Linked DNA regions of Tamandua tetradactyla. The protein of the gene in region 2 binds, or shares a complex with, the protein of the main gene of each other region. Links are inferred from orthologs where the notes say so. Each region holds a gene or a part of one and is shown on either strand. Other genes may lie near its edges.

Evidence for each region. Proteins that work in one complex are often made in the same cells at the same time.
Region 1: the proteins of IZUMO1 (region 2) and IZUMO1R are in contact, whole or in part, in a crystal structure (PDB 5JKC), measured with the Homo sapiens proteins. The link is inferred for Tamandua tetradactyla from reciprocal best matches to the Homo sapiens genes IZUMO1 and IZUMO1R. Residues at the interface, in NP_872381.2 of Homo sapiens: Met75, Val77, Tyr134, Val141, Leu146, Trp148, Lys150, Asn151, Lys153, Glu155, Val156, His157, Ala158, Arg160, Lys161, Ser162, Tyr163, Asn239, Ser240, Ser241, Pro242, Ile245; in NP_001186135.1 of Homo sapiens: Lys42, Tyr44, Glu45, Ile48, Leu58, Trp62, His65, Leu66, Asp67, Gly80, Leu81, Leu82, Met83, Pro84, Gly85, Arg87, Ile91, Met145, Ser146, Tyr147, Gln171.

Annotation. Positions count from the first base shown.
Region 1 is NC_135334.1:48,670,229-48,677,494, forward strand, and holds IZUMO1R (sperm-egg fusion protein Juno), read right to left. Parts: upstream 2,415-7,266; coding exon 2,280-2,414; intron 1,635-2,279; coding exon 1,446-1,634; intron 1,020-1,445; coding exon 884-1,019; intron 780-883; coding exon 511-779; downstream 1-510. UniProt on the Homo sapiens protein: Receptor for IZUMO1 present at the cell surface of oocytes (oolemma), which is essential for species-specific gamete recognition and fertilization.
Region 2 is NC_135342.1:12,311,551-12,319,065, reverse strand, and holds the start of IZUMO1 (izumo sperm-egg fusion protein 1), read right to left. Parts: upstream 3,006-7,515; 5' UTR 2,502-3,005; coding exon 2,168-2,501; coding exon of another isoform or gene 2,108-2,167; intron 1,798-2,107; coding exon 1,723-1,797; intron 1,364-1,722; coding exon 1,277-1,363; intron 1,103-1,276; coding exon 1,082-1,102; intron 791-1,081; coding exon 710-790; intron 551-709; coding exon 450-550; intron 175-449; coding exon 21-174; intron 1-20. Other genes in the region: FUT1 (galactoside alpha-(1,2)-fucosyltransferase 1), read right to left, coding at 5,469-6,572. UniProt on the Homo sapiens protein: Essential sperm cell-surface protein required for fertilization by acting as a ligand for IZUMO1R/JUNO receptor on egg.

The DNA of each region.
Region 1 (7,266 bases), on a different chromosome or scaffold from region 2:
ATAGAAGGAGAGGGCCTTGGCCCATATTAAGAAGTTAAACAATTAGTGGGTGAAACAACCTAAGTGGCTCCTTCTTTGGGCAGGGTGGCTTCCTGCACGTGGGTAGGACACAGTGGATTAGACAGAGAGGAAAGAGCAACTGCCATTTTATTGGAGGCACCATTGTAGGAGGCAGTCACATCTGCCATCATCAGCTCTGCCCCGGGAGCTGATAGACACTGAGCAAGAAGGGCCTGGGGTCCCAAGTCTACAGCCCCACATTTTTAAAGGCAGAGGGGGTTTACCACCTTGGCTCTCCCAGTCCCCACCTGCCTTCCAGTCACGGTTAAGGCAGAGCAGAGCACTGGAGAGGGCCTGGGACTGAATGTGCAAGGTCCAGGCACCAGCTATTGCAGCCTCAATGTCCCACCCCAATCCCCCAGTCAGTCTGTTCCTTTTAAGGAAAGGCTCAAGGAAGGAAGTGGCCAGGGCCTGGCCTGCCCCACAGCTGGTGGAAGATGGAGGGACTCCTTAGGGATGGAAGGACAGGAACAGAGAGAAGACCATGAGCGTGTAGGGCAGTTCCCAGGAGGGGGCAGGGTTAGCGAAGAGACGGGCCACAGCCACATTGGGATTGCCCCGAGTAGGATCAAACCACTTCTGGACACACCGCCCACTGCCCCGGTGCTCTGGGCTCGCCTTGTAGGAGTCGCTCCAAATCTTCTCGCAGAGGTCAGCTGGGGCTGGGAAGTAATGGGGGAAGGGGCGGCAGGGGGCTCCTACAGGGCAGCGGCTCTTTCCTGCGGGAGATGGAGGCATGGACAACTCAACTCCTCTTCCCACTCCCGCACCCCCCCTCCAAGGGGCCTGCTTCCCTCCCTTGGCCCTGTCAAGCATTGCTCACCCCGACTCCAGTCCCAGCCGTCCTGCCAGTTGGATTTGCAAGTGTAAGACGTGCGGCAGTCTGCCCACCACCGCTCACAGTCCTCCTGGCACAGCGGCACACCCAAAATTCGCTCTCCTGGCCCACTTGGGCCCACCTGGGTGTAGGCATCAAAAGAGACAAAAGCATCAATAGCAGGTATCATCTGTATATCATCTTGAATTGCGCAGTCCATAAAAGTATTATTTTACAAGTGAGGCTAAGAGGTTAGTTTGACCCAGCTAATAAGTACAGAAGATGGGATTCAAATTCAAGTTCATCTAAAGTCACCAAGCTTCCCATGGGTGATAGTGTCTCATCCCACTGTTCTCATCTGACCCGTCTCCCCCATTCCCTTCTCCAGGCCTGGAGGTAGCTTCTTCTCCATCCTTCCCCCAGTGGGGGTCTCTGACTCTGTTCTTTTCTGGAAGGCAATAGCACTTGCAGCTCCTGCTAGCATTCTGGAAATGCCAGCATAAGAGGGGACAGAAGCTCAGGCTCTTAGTAACAGGGCATTGCACTGATCTGCCCCCAGTCTCCCCACCGGCTGGATCCAGGGCCCCAGGTTCGGGGAACACTCATAGAAGCAGACAGCCTGGATGAAGTGCTTCTGACAGCTTGGGGTCATCAGCCCACAGTGAGTCAAGCTGAAGTTGTAGAGCAGGGACATGTCCAGGTGGGCTTCCCAACTTGTGTTGGCTGTGCAGCAGGCATTTTCCTTCCAGGGGATGCACTGAAGCAAAGAGCAGAGGAGGCTGGTGAGTGGCTAGGGCAGAAGGGGGACAGAATAAAAATGTCTCTTGGGAGAGGACCTGGGCCGGTGGGATCCCTATAGGCCAGCAACCCCTAGGGGTGGGTGGGGGAGCTTTTTTTTTTTTTACATACGAGGAGTCCTAATAACTTGTCAATATTCATACTGAAAGGGCAGAAGGCTCCCAGCACACTGACCTCCCTGCCTCAGGCTGCTATAGCCCCCTAAAAACATGACTTCCAGGGTTTCAGCTCCTAGAGCTGGCCGGGGCTTTGAGGAGAAAGCAAGTATGGCAAGAAGCCCCAACAAGTCCCAGGGGAAAGTGGGATTGCACTGGGTGAATTGCACTGGGTGGGAGGGTACAAGGCTATAGAAGGAGAATGTTGTCTTCGTCTCTGCTGATCCAACACTGGCCTATGGAATCACCATTTCATCCTACTCCCCGAGTGGCTGGAACAGGTCTGAGGTGGGCTTAAATCACCAGGCTCTATGATCTCAAAAGGTCACAGATTCCCTCTAGTTACCTTTGCCCCCAATCCCAGCCAAACAGCCAAGATTGACGGGTCCAGAGACCATTTTACCAAAAAAGCTCCCCCACCCACCCCTAGGCTGGTCTGGCCTCTGTACCTCCTCATAGAGTTGGACTTCAGGGCCAGGCTTTCTCTTGTGGTGTTGGGCCTTCATGCAGACATTGAGCAGCTCGTTCCCAGCCCAGGCAGGCAAGACTATCCACAGCCCTAGCAGGAGCCACCACCATGCCATCGCCTTCTGCAGAGAAGAGACCCTTTTGCTTGCCAGACGAACACCCCATTCCAGTCCCTCCACCATACTGTAACTGAGAAATCAGAATTTCAGGGATGATTTTGCTTGCTCGATCATTATACAGATACTCTTTTTTGCTTACTGGTATATTGGAGTAGACAGAGGGAATCTCCTGAAATCTCTGAGTTGTAATCCAGCCGCCTTGAACTCTGATAATTATTGTACAGCCCTTATCTTCTGCCCCTGTGATTATAAAAACCTTGTGACTAACCTTCATTTGGACCCAGTTATCCAGTTTTTCAGCTTTACAGTCTTGTAATTACTAAAGACAGCTCCTAATGTTTGTTAATGAAGGGTCTTGTGTCAGTCCAGAACTGTCTCACCCCAAATCCAGTTGTCTTGTTAGCTGAGACTGGCTCTAACCAAAGTGGGCCTGACTGAGATGCACAGTAGCTTAGACTTTAACCTGTAAGTCACCTATATTCGTTCAGCCATTTTCTTACATACATTCTGTGACTAAGCATGTCATCAATCTGCGTATGCTCAATAATTAGATCACCACTAATTACATCATCTAGGGCCACTGTGCTCATTATCCTAAATCTTGCCCATATTTTTCTCTAATAAAGCTATCAGAATTGATGCAGTTTGGGGAGAAGATTTTGGACCATTAGACCATCTGCTCTCCTACTATGTGCCTAGTATTAAACCTTTTCTGTCTTTGAAACCCCAGTGCCTCAGGAATTGGTTATTGAGCATGTCAGGCAAAAGAATCCTTCACCTTTTTCTGGTAACAATACCAAGTACTGAAGACAGAGTATGGGAGGCAGAATTTCAAGACTCTTTCAAGTGACATTGTGGCTGCTCCTCAGATCTTCTATCTCAGGCAGCATCACAGAATGTTAGGTGGTTTGGATAAACTTAGAGGGCTGACCCCCAACCCCAGCCATTACTCAGATGCAGAAACTAAAGCACAGGGAAGGGTCGAGACCAGCCCTCAGCTGAGAGTCAGGGGTTAGAGAGTCCCCAGCCTTCCCACAGGGAACTTCCCCTGGCTGTTCTCCTTTCTAACTCAGTGGCACATAGGCTTGGAATTCAGAGCTTTGACTCTGGCCCACAGCAGGCCCCAATTACTGGCTGAGTAACTGAACTAATGCACATGGGCCCAAAGGGTGTGGTGGGACAGGACAGTGTGACAAGCCCACCTCACCCCATCGAGGGCTAGCCCTAATTCCAGCCCCTCTGAAGGGTCCAAGCAAAGCTCCCAGCTCCTCAGAGCAGCTTGTCCCTCCCCAGTCTCAGGTCCTGAGCCAGATGCCTTTCTAGAACAGCTGTGCTTGCATCAGCCTCAACCCATCATGAGGCTGGGGCAGCCGAAGGCCCAGCAGCCTTGTTGGCATGTCTGAGCCAGGGAGCCTGGCCAGGCATGAGTTGGAGGTGAGAGATCTTCACTTGCAAATCGCAATGCCATTATAAAAATAGGGAGGACAGCCTTTCCCTCAGTGCTTGTTAAGCACTATGTTTGCAACCCTGTTCTGGATAGCAGTGACAAAGAAGAATTAAGGGAATAAAGAGACTAAACAAACGAACAAAAAGCAACAGAAATGGAGAATCCCGTCCCAAGCACTCAGCTGCAGGAAAACATTGTCTCTTAAAAGGCAACCTAGGAAACAGCTCCCTTAGCTTCACCCACTCTGGAGTCCACAGCTCTTCCAATGTCCAGGCCTTGTCAGAGCCTGCCATGGACCCATCACAGGAAATCAGAAAACCACCAGCCAAGCCTGAGTTTATAACCTCAAACATCCTGGAGTTGGAGACCCCCATTCCTAACGTCAGAACCCACTCTCAAGTCTAAATTCAACGCAACTCTCTATCCACAGCAGTTTACTTTTAGGAGAGAAGAAGAAAGCTGTGGCCCTTCTAGCATTTTCTTCATACCCACTTTCAAAGCAGCAGGCCCTCCAGATGGTCCCTCTGGCTCCCCGAAATGCTGAGGTTGATGGGAATTCCACACCCACCCATTTATTACCCAGCTCAGTTTCTATGAGGCCCACGTGTGGGAGCAGAACCCAGGTGGCTCCAGTTATGCTGTTTTACCCAAGGGCCTCCAGCAGTGGATCGAGGTGAGCTCCGAGCGAGAGTGCTTTCCCAGAGAAAAGAGGCTTTGTAGTGGTGAAGATGCTGGATTCTTTCACCAGACACGAAGTTCAGCTCTCCGTTCTGCTACTCACTAGCTGAGTGACCTCAGGAAAATTACTTAAATGAAGCATCACGTCTCCACCTGAAAAGGGAAGGTTATTATAATCGGGCTGATGAGAAGAAGAAATTAAAAGGAGAGTTCCTGAGAAGGAACTCGGAATCGTACCAGGCACAGAGTAAATGCTTGGTAAGTCTTGTGAGTTTTAATTGTCATTCTTTTATTCTATAAGTGTTTCTCTCTCTGCCCTGTCCTGGAGTTCTACTCGCCCTCAGTCATCTGCTCAATTACCTGGGATGGACCACACGGGGGTCCTAGTAACAGCCTTCTCCTCGGGACACCCCACAGGAACAGAGTAAGAGCACACAGGTCACAGGAGATGAAGTTTGTGGCTGTGGGCACACAAGAACTTAATGCATGACCAAAGCCAAAAGAAACAAAACCAAAAACTCCCTCAAAAGCCCACGAGATGCCCTTCCCCCAGCGTGATGCCTCTAGGGAAGGGAGGGACCACTGTCCTGTGAAATATTTTGGCAAGAGTAGTTGGTTGTGGTGATATTCACGGGAATGTCCCCCTCAACTAAGGAGAGGCTCAGGAACTTGGCTACAATTCTTAGGAGGGCCCCAAAGATGATGAAAACACAAGGGAAGGAGCCCATTGCTTTGCTTGCTTCTTCTGACAAGTTCCCTCTCCAAAGCAGAAGTAGCTCAAAATCACATATGCTTTACTTAGACCTAGGAAATGAAAACAAAACACTAAAAGCGTTTTTTAACAGAAGAGAGTATGAAACAGACACGCTCTGCATTTTTTAGCTGCAGAGTTGATGTGCAAAGCATGTAATCATGCTGGGAAATAATGTTTCCCACCTCCTGGTAATCACAGCCCCTGTGTGCTGAGTGCAGGCCTGTCTCCCTCCCCGCCACCACTCCGGAGCGCTCAGCCTCAGGGAGAAAACAGGCTCGGCTAGGGAGCACCAGAGCTCAGATCTCCTGTGCTCTTAAGAACTAGGTGAGGGTGGGAGTGGAAGGTGGAAGGACCTCCAGGACCGAAAGGACAGGTGCTGTTTGGGTCTCAGAGGAAGCCTGTTTTTTAAAGTTAAATTCCACAATCAGATTGTGTGTGTGTTGGAAGGAGGGGCGGGTTAGTTGTATTCAAGAGCAGTCATGGTTACTGTTATGGGTTGAGTTGTGTCCCCTAAAAACCTGGTTCAAGTCCTAATACCCATCCTGCGAATGTGACCCTATTTGGAAATAGTGTTTTTAAAGATATAATTAGTTAAGAAGCCAAATTGGTATAGGATGAGCCCTAATCCAATATGACTGGGGTCCCCGCGAGAAGGGGAGAGTAGGATACAGACAGTTGGACGGGGAGATGCCATGGGTTGCTGGCAAGCCACCACCAGAAGCCGGGAGAGAGGCATGGATCAGAGCCCTTACCTCCAGTCTTTAAATGACGCTTGGCCCTGCCGACATCTTGTTTTCAGAATTCTAGCCTCCAAAACTGTGAGGCAATAGATTTCTGTTGTTTTAAGCCACCCAAGTTTGTGGAAACAAAGACAAGTTACCAGTCCAGCTGCCTGAAGTAGAGCTCAGGGTCCCTCCCCTCTTTGAGGTCAGGCACCAAGTGGCAGTGGAGTTTCTGTGACAGGGCTTCTTCCCACAGGTGTGAACTCTACTGGGAAGAAGCAGGCTCTCACAGGCTGTCCAATTTCCTGCAAATATTCCGGAAGCCCTAAGCCTTGAAGAGGTAAGAGATTTGGCTTTTAATGTTATATTTAAGATGACTGTGGATGTGGCAGGGACAAGAACCCAGAAATGAATCACAAAAGTAATGACTGAAATGGAAAACAGGCCCTCTGGTCACAGGATGAAGGTGGCTCTGCATGGAGGAAAGAAGGTCAAGGAGGGACTTGCTAACAGTCTCCGGAATGAAGCTGTAGGAAATGAGATGCAATTACAGCCAGCACAGGTGCCGAGGGAGGTGGGGCATGGGAAGGAATTACCGAGGCTGCCTTTCAGAGAACCATGCTGCTGACATCTCCCCAGAGAGACAGTCTGTGGTCCTTGAGGAAAATTCATGTTTGCATTATTGTGACTGAGGCTTCCAGATTAATCTGTTTTCTGACTGCAAGTTGATAAACCAAAGCTGTCTGTGGACAATACCATTTGAAGCAGCTGATCCCAATCAACTTTATTCTTAAGAAAACAAAACCCAAAACAGAATGCTTGAATTGCCATTGGTTACTGCAGAGTCCCTTCCCCTCTAAGCCCAGCCTTACTTTCCACACTAGCCAGGCTGAGCCACTCGCTGCTATGTGAATGTGCCACTGTGCTGTACCTCCCTTCGCAGGGATGAATTTTCCTTTTCACCTGGCTACACATCCTTCAGTGCATAGGTAACAGTATCTCTAGAAACCTTCCTTTGCCTCTTCCTGGCTTAGGGTCCATTCTGTGGGCTCGCAAGCCTTCCTATAGTTCCTTTTAGCATTGCATTTATTACAAGTTTTGTAATCTTCTGCACATTTGTTTGTTTCTCCCTTTAGACTCTGGGGAGCCCCCTTTAGAGATCCTTGGGTGAGGACTTTATCTTGTTTATCCTTTTGTTGCCAGCACCTAGCATGATTTATGGTGTACAGAAGAGCCTCTAAATATTTG
Region 2 (7,515 bases):
CTCCACCCAGCAGCACTGACCTTTGACCTGATAGTAGATGATGGTGGCTGGGCTGGAAATCACAGTGCCCAGCTCGCAGCGGTACTTGCCTTCGTCCGCTGGCCCCACCATGGTCTTGGTCAGGGTGGGCTCTTTCCCCTCGTACAACAAGGTCTCAGTCGTGTTCTCCCAAACCTAGACCCAAGCTCAAGGGGTCACAGAGGCCTGGGGGATTCAGGGGTTGGGGGATCACAGGGGTGAGAGATCACTGGACCTCAGTAGGGGACGTGGGAGTCCAGGGTGTCAAGGGCTTGGGGTCACCGGGGTCAGGAGAGGTCAAACCTGGTAGGTCAGGGGTCATGGGGTGGGGGGAGTGGCATGGTGCCGGGCAACCGTTACAGGAGACCAGGGGGCTCACGCAGGCCTGATGGACTTGGAGTTCAAGGGTTACAGGGGTCGGGGGGCCCCACCCTGAAAAATCTGTATTCGGTGAGGCCTTCGGAGACGTGATGCCAGTTGAGCTCACAGTCCAGAATCATGTCCTCCATTTGATAGACTTTGATGTGGCGATCTGAGGATGGGGAGATCGGGCGGGCTCACTGCGGGGCACTCCTTCAAGGTTCCTCGCCCCCACTCCAAGTCCCCTGGCCCTGGGCTGGGGGCCCCTCCTGCCTCTCCTCTGGCGCTGCCCCTGCCGCACCCACCCTCCCACGGGATCCACCTCTCTCACCCCCGCAATTTACGGACTTCCGACAGGCGTGAATCTGCTTATCGCAGCCCTCGCACCAGATCAGGGTCTGCAGTAGCATACCTGAAGGGGCAGGCCCAAGGCTTGTACGTGCCCTTTAAGAGGCGGGGCTAAAAGGGAGGGGCGGGGTCTGACCGGGGGCGGGGCTAGAACGCAGCCATGCGGGAAGGAAGATCCAAACCCGCTCCCTACAGAGGGGAAACCGAATGTAGCCGTCCCGCCCTTAAGAAGTCCAAGGTGCAGAAAGGAGACCCCGGGACTTTTCAAACGCATAGAATGAAGACACCACGGGGACCCCGAAAGGGGAGTGGGGAAGAGCTGGGTATTGGTGGGGTTACCTCAATCAGGACTCACCGCATTTGTTGGGACAAAAAGCTGCCTCGGATGGAAAATAAAAGAAAAAAAAAAAGAGAGAGAATCAGATTTCTAAGTCAAAGGGGGAATGGGAGCGGGGGCAGGGGAAGAAGCTGGGGGCTTGGACTCAAGTTAGAGGAAGGAGGGGATCGGAAGGGCTGGGGGCCGGGGTCCCAGGATCCCATCTTCCCTCACCCTCTTTTAGGAACTGAGCAGCATAGCGGGAAAAAACCTCCTTTTGCAGGTGTAACATCCAGAATATCTCCTTCACGAAGAGTTCGTCTGGGAAGAAGCAGGGTGGCGCAGAGTGGTCCCCCTCCCACCCTATCGGAGGTCTTCAGAGTCTGCCATTTCACTGTCCCGCCTTCTCAGGGAAGGGAAGGGAAATGTAATGATCCCTGAATATCATGCCGGCCGCGGTGCTAACCGATGCAAGTGTAAGGATTCATTTAATCTTCACAGCTACTGGTCTCTATTTTAGAGACGAGGAAGCCGCGAAGTCCCTTGCTCCAGGCCACGCAGCTAGAAAGTGGCACAGCTGGAATTTGGAACCAAGGCAGTGGGCCTCCAAACCAGAAATCACCAGCAATCACGTTCCTGAATAATTCTGGGGCCCCCACTCCCCTCCTCCTTGCATCTACCTTTAACCCCACTGTCTGTGATGCGTTTCAGATCCTTCAGGAAACTCCAGGCTGCCTTTTGCAGTGTGGGCTCATCTGTGGGGGGAGATAGGACCAGACCACGTTCCAGCGTCCCTGTCATTGGCTCCCCTAGTCTTAGAAACTACAATACCCATGAGGCCTCCAGACAAAGATAGGCCTGGTTAATGGATTAGCTGCCCGTTGCCGTCTGGGAGTTGTAGTTTCATTACATAAAATTGCAGGCTAAGGGGGGTGTGTGTGTGTGTGGTGGAGTCACAGTATTTGCTAGCCCCGGGAACTCCCGGAATGTGCATTCGCACCTTCTCCATTTCCAGAGCCCAAGAGAGTCTACCCCCAGCCCTCTCCTTCCTTTGGATCTAGTAACCTTGGCCCGGAACTTCTCCTTCACCAGGACCCAGGAGACTGCGTTCTGTCCTGCCCTTACCGACGGCCCCCATGTAGGAGTCTTCGTCTAGTGGCAGATCCTTGAAATCCCGCAGAGTGTCCTCGATCCTTTTCATCACATTTTCGCGAACACTGGCTGACAAGTGGCTAGGCAGGTAGTCTGTCTCCAAGGACTTAAGCGCCGTCAAGACCGACTGGTCACAGATGACACAGCCCCAGGCAGGCAGCAGGCAACCAGCCAGTGCAGCTACCAGGAGGGGAAGCGGCGGCCCCATCGCGGCCTGAGCGTCAAGTCCGCGAAGAGCTCCAGGGAGGGGCCTCCCACCCCAAGTCCAGAGGAGAGGAACGCTAAACGGAGAGAAGTCACGGTCCATAGAAGGGGACCCCACTGGGCCCTCTATTAATGGGGTTCCCAAACCATGAAATCCCTAAATGAAGAGGACACCTATCCTTCATCAAATTCCTTCAATCTGGGGGACCCCCAAATTTAGGATCCTCGTTGGAACCCAACTAGGAGACCAGCAAACTATTAAACAGGAGGTGTTCAACCGTCCCCTTACCAGAACTGGGAACCCACATCCCATGCAGACTTTCCAAAATTGATGTGATCCCCAACTCCCACTGAGACCTCTCAACACCCCTCCCCCAAATCTGTTGGATCTCGAGCAGAAAACTCAATGCCCAAACTAAATAGATTACCCAATACAGAACCAGGCAGGATATCATCAAATTCAAAATTTTCAAACCAAAATGCACTCCAAATACATAAACCTGGAGACCCTACAAATCTAAGCAAGACTCTAAACGGTTCTCCAGACCGGGAGTGAGGGGGTGGAAGGTGGGGCTTGTCTACGCTTCCCCAAGACTAACAGACCCCAATTTGCAGGGCATACCCCTCTCTTTAAGAGGAAAAGACGAACCCCGAAGCCCTCCAAGCAGCAGCCTCCCAATCTTGGCTCCCTGACCCTGGTGCCCCCAAACACTTGCTGAGGAGCTCACTCCAGGTTCTGAGAGCTCTTCGGAAGCCGGGATCAGGTCCTTCTACTCTTATTTCAGGACTGAAATAAAGGAATTGGTTGGAGACAAGGGGGAGGTGGGGTTGCGTGATGCCCAAGACCTTTCGATTGAGGTCTTGAGTCACGGGTCGCCCCTCTAGGCAGGGAGCTCCCGCAGCCTCGGGGTTGGCCTTTGCCACGTGCAGTCGCCGATTTCCCAAAAGCTTTTTCCTGGCGTTTTTCTAAGCCCCGCCCTGAAACCCAACTCCGAACCCGATTGGACCGCAACAAAGGGAGGCCCCGCCCAATGCTTCATGACGTCACAGAGGCGGCCGCCTCCGCACACGAGGATTTCCCCCCACCCCCCGGCATCTAAAACTGCGGAGGCCCCCTGCCTGCTCCTGCTCCCGGAGCCGAGAACCGGCCTCCGGCCTGCAGCTTCCTCCCTCCCTTGGCCCCTGACCCGGGCTTCTGGGCCTCTGGAAACCTGGCGTTGGGCCACGAGAACGCGGGGAGAGGCAGTTTCCAGTCTAGGACTACGACTCCCAGAAGGCCCTGGGTTGCTTTTTTGATAGCAACTATCGCAGTCAGCCCAGTAGCCTTAAGGGAAATGTAGTCCAACAGTTATACTCCTTGCTCACGTCCCCTCCCCAGCCCGAGAGGCTGTATGCCAAGGGTTCATGATCTGGAGGCCAGTCCCGAGGGTCCGGAAGAAAGGAACTGGGGGCTCGGACCTTTGGGTCCTGTAAGGTCTTTCTGCTTCATTAAAACAGGCCGCCAGAAAAACGGAAGCACGAGTGGGCCTCCGGGGAGTGGGGCGAGGAGGGGGAAACACTACAACCGCAAGACATCCTGGGCTGTGAAAATCCCCGGAAGTTTGCCCCTCTCCTCCGCACCCCTACCCTCACCCCAACCCTCCAAAAAAGCTGCAGAGACCGGGATTGATGATGTGGGCTTTTAATTCATACCTCCTTCTCTTCCATATGTGACAGGTGAACGGGGAATGGTCTCCCCAAAACTCCCTGAGAAGCCTGGAGAAAGGGCTTGGATTCTGAAGGGGGATGTGAGCAGAGGTTGAGGATAATAAAAGTATCTTCTTTCAACCCTCCAAAAAAGCAAGGAACTCCTGAAATCTGACAGGGATCCTGTCCTCCTTGGCCAAACCCAGTGCTCCCAGTTTGAGGCTGGGTTACGGACTCTATGTACTTTTAGGAGCCTTTCATCCTGGACTCGCCCAAAACCAGATTTGGTGCTTCTGTGAATTCAAGGGCAGACAATGGTTGGCACATGCACAGTACCTGCGGCAAATCCAAAGGGCAGGTTTGTGCTCTGCTGCCTCCCAGAAAACAGATCCCAGCACCCCCAGCACCCCCAGTCCAGCTGCAAAGGAGGAGGAAACTTTCTTCATTGTGAGAGGCAGCTTGAACTTGGAGGCAAGGTGCGTCGTTCTGTGTTTGGCAGTTTTTGAGCTTAAAAAAAATTTTTTTTTCAAGTGTCCGTGGATCTCTGGAAAAGTTGGCTCTAGAAGCTGTAGCATTTCAGCAGCCATACCCACACCTCACATTTCAGCCTATCTACCTCCCCCCATCCCCCTTTTTGGCTTTCTCAGGGCCTGAGGGTTGGACAGAGTTCTGCTCTGCTCACAAATAGCCCCAGCTTTTACAAAGCCCAGGAGCAGTACTGTATGCTGTCCAGCTAGATGCTTGTCTCCCATCTTTCAATCTTAATCTTGCAGTGGCGTGGTGTTGTTTCTGGTTGTTTCATTGGATTCCTCCTTGAAGTTATCTGGAATTCCAGAACCTCTGGAAGGGCCCTGCAGGCTTCCTCACAGGCATTAGATGTGGCCCTCTCTAGAGCAAATTCGCTCTAGAATCATTCCAGAAACATGGAGGGAATTGAATGCTTGCTCTGAAACAGCCATGAGTTCCCTCAGTCCTCCTAGGACCCAAGAGAGGAGTGCCACCTTCTAGAAAACACCAGGATAGTCAACCCTAGAGAGTTCCCTACTTCCTGGGGATAACTTTCCAGAAGGATTCGACTTGAGAAGAAAAAATGGGTACAGTGGCTTCTATTACTGCCATGAACTTCTCCAGACATTGCCACCATCAGGAAAAGATGTCCTGCTGGTTCTGGAAATGTTCAAGCAGTTCCAGAAAGCCCTACCCCCACCCCCATCTCTCAAAGGTTGGCCAATTGGAATCACTCTAGAAATGGCAAGGCGGGGATATGGTGCCCATCTGCTCCAGAGCCCCAAGCTTCTCCAAGAAGCCGCCAGGCCTCAGGAGATGCATCCTCCTGGCTCTAGATTGCGCTGGTCATTCCAAAAAAACGTCTCTGCTTTGCCTCTCAAGGCCCAGCTTTCGAGCGGAGTGGAGACAGGTCTGCAGCAATGCCCACCCACTCGGGCAGGAAGGCGGCCTCAGGCTTAAAGATCTTCAGGAAGTTGGAGTCTGGCAGGGTGAAGTTGGCCAGGTAGACGGTGTCTCCCCCAGCCAGGTAGGCAGCCCAGAAGCCGAAGGTACCGATGGTCATGACGGTGTGATTGCACTGCATGAGCAGCGCAAAGTCTTTCCCAGGCGAGGCCTCCTGCCCGTTGCCGGCAAAGATCACATCCCCCCGGGAGGTGTCAATGTTCTCCCGGCACCACCCCATGCCATTGCTGGTGACCACAAAGATGGGGTCTCGGTGCTGGGCCCGGAACCAGTCCATGGCCTGCTGGAGGTAGGTGCGGTCGCCCACCACGCCCCTCCAGTGGTGGGGCATCACCTCCAGGTAGTCCCCTCGGCGCACGTGGACGCCCACGAACGTGCCCGGGCGGCCCCTGGCCCGGCCCAGGCGGAGCTGACTCAGGAAGACCTGGGCCTCCTCCCGGAGGTGGTCATGAAGGGTGAACTCGCTGCGGATCTGTTCCCGGAGGTGGTGGAAGAAGGTCCAGGAGCAGGGAAAGCCGGAGAGCTTCAGAAAGGGGTCCTTCAGTTGGGCGTACTCCTCCGACATCCAGTCATGCAGCCTCACCTTGCGCCACGGCGTGTGGCTGTCCGCCTCGGGGGCCAGCACGGGCAGGGTGATGCGGAACACGGGCGCCAGGGTGGCGTGCATGGCGGGCGGGATGAAGGCCCGGCGGCCGTTGAGCTGGGCCAGGGCCAGCAGGGTGGCGTACTGCCCCATCTGGTTACCAAAGCGGCCGTCGGAGTAGATGGTCCAGGTCCCGGAGGGGGAGGGGGAGGGCGGGCGGCGGGGACAGGAGCGGGAGGCGTTGGCGGTCAGCGGCGTGCCGGGCAGGCAGAACACGGCCACGCGGGAGGACAGCCGGCAGCGGTCCGGACACAGGATGGACAGATCGAGGCCTTTGCGAAAGAGGTCTTGGTGGACGTGGAGGAAGGAGATGGCCGAGAGAAGGCAGGCCAGCAGGAAGGCCAGGCAGAGGTGACGGCGACTGGGGGGCCACATAGCTGCGGGTGGGAAAGGCGGATGAGGGGATGCGGGGCGCCTAAGGAGGAATCTCAGGGAGGAGGGGCTGGGGGCCTGGCCCCCCGGGGCTGAAGAAGGAGAGGCTGGGGATTTGGACCCTGGGGTCCGAAGGAGGAGGAGAGTGGGGACGCACCCTCCCGGGTCTAAAGAAGGGGCCCCTGAACGCAGGGTCCCGGCCCGAGGCATCCACAGCGCCCGCTCACCTGAGAGCCTCGCGGGTGGTCCCAGCCGCCAGACCCACTTCGCGCGGCGAGAGCGCCCGGTCGGCGGATCCGGCCCCCATCCGGCCGCCAGGTTCCCAGGCCCGGCACGCCCGGCCCTCCACGTCGCCTCCCGGGACTGGCTGCGAGGGCCCGGGGAGGGGAGGGAAGAGGAGGAGAGGGCGCGGGGCGAAGGCTCCGAGGGGCCGCCCCTCCCGGGCCGGGCAGGTGGCTCCGGGGCGGGGCCGCTCCGCCGGGTGTCCAGGCGCCCAGTCGGGACGCCCGGGGCTGGAGCGGCCGGCCCCGCCCCCTCCGCTCTCCGGAGCTGGGCTCCCGCGCCCGCCGCCCGGTCCCGGGCCCGCGGAGAGAGGCTCGGCGGCGGCAGCATCCCTCCCAGCGCCCGGCGGCCGGCGCCCGACCCTGGTGGCCCGTGCCGGGGCTCCCCGTTCGCCCCGCGGGACCTGGATGCGCCCGGCCCGGCCATCACCGCGCTGCGGGCCCTTGGGTGCGGGCGCCGGGGCGCTCCTCCGCCCCTGCCTCCCCCTCCGGCCGCGCCCGCCCCAGCGGGAGGGAGAACCTGTTTGCCAGGCTGCTCCCAGAGGACCAGGGAAGCCTCGACCCCCCTCAAGACCCCAGTGTCAGCCTCAGAAAATAAAAATGGATTTTGTGACATGGGGGCCCCTTCAGTTTCTCTCCCTCAGCAGTTCCTCTGTCAGGACCTC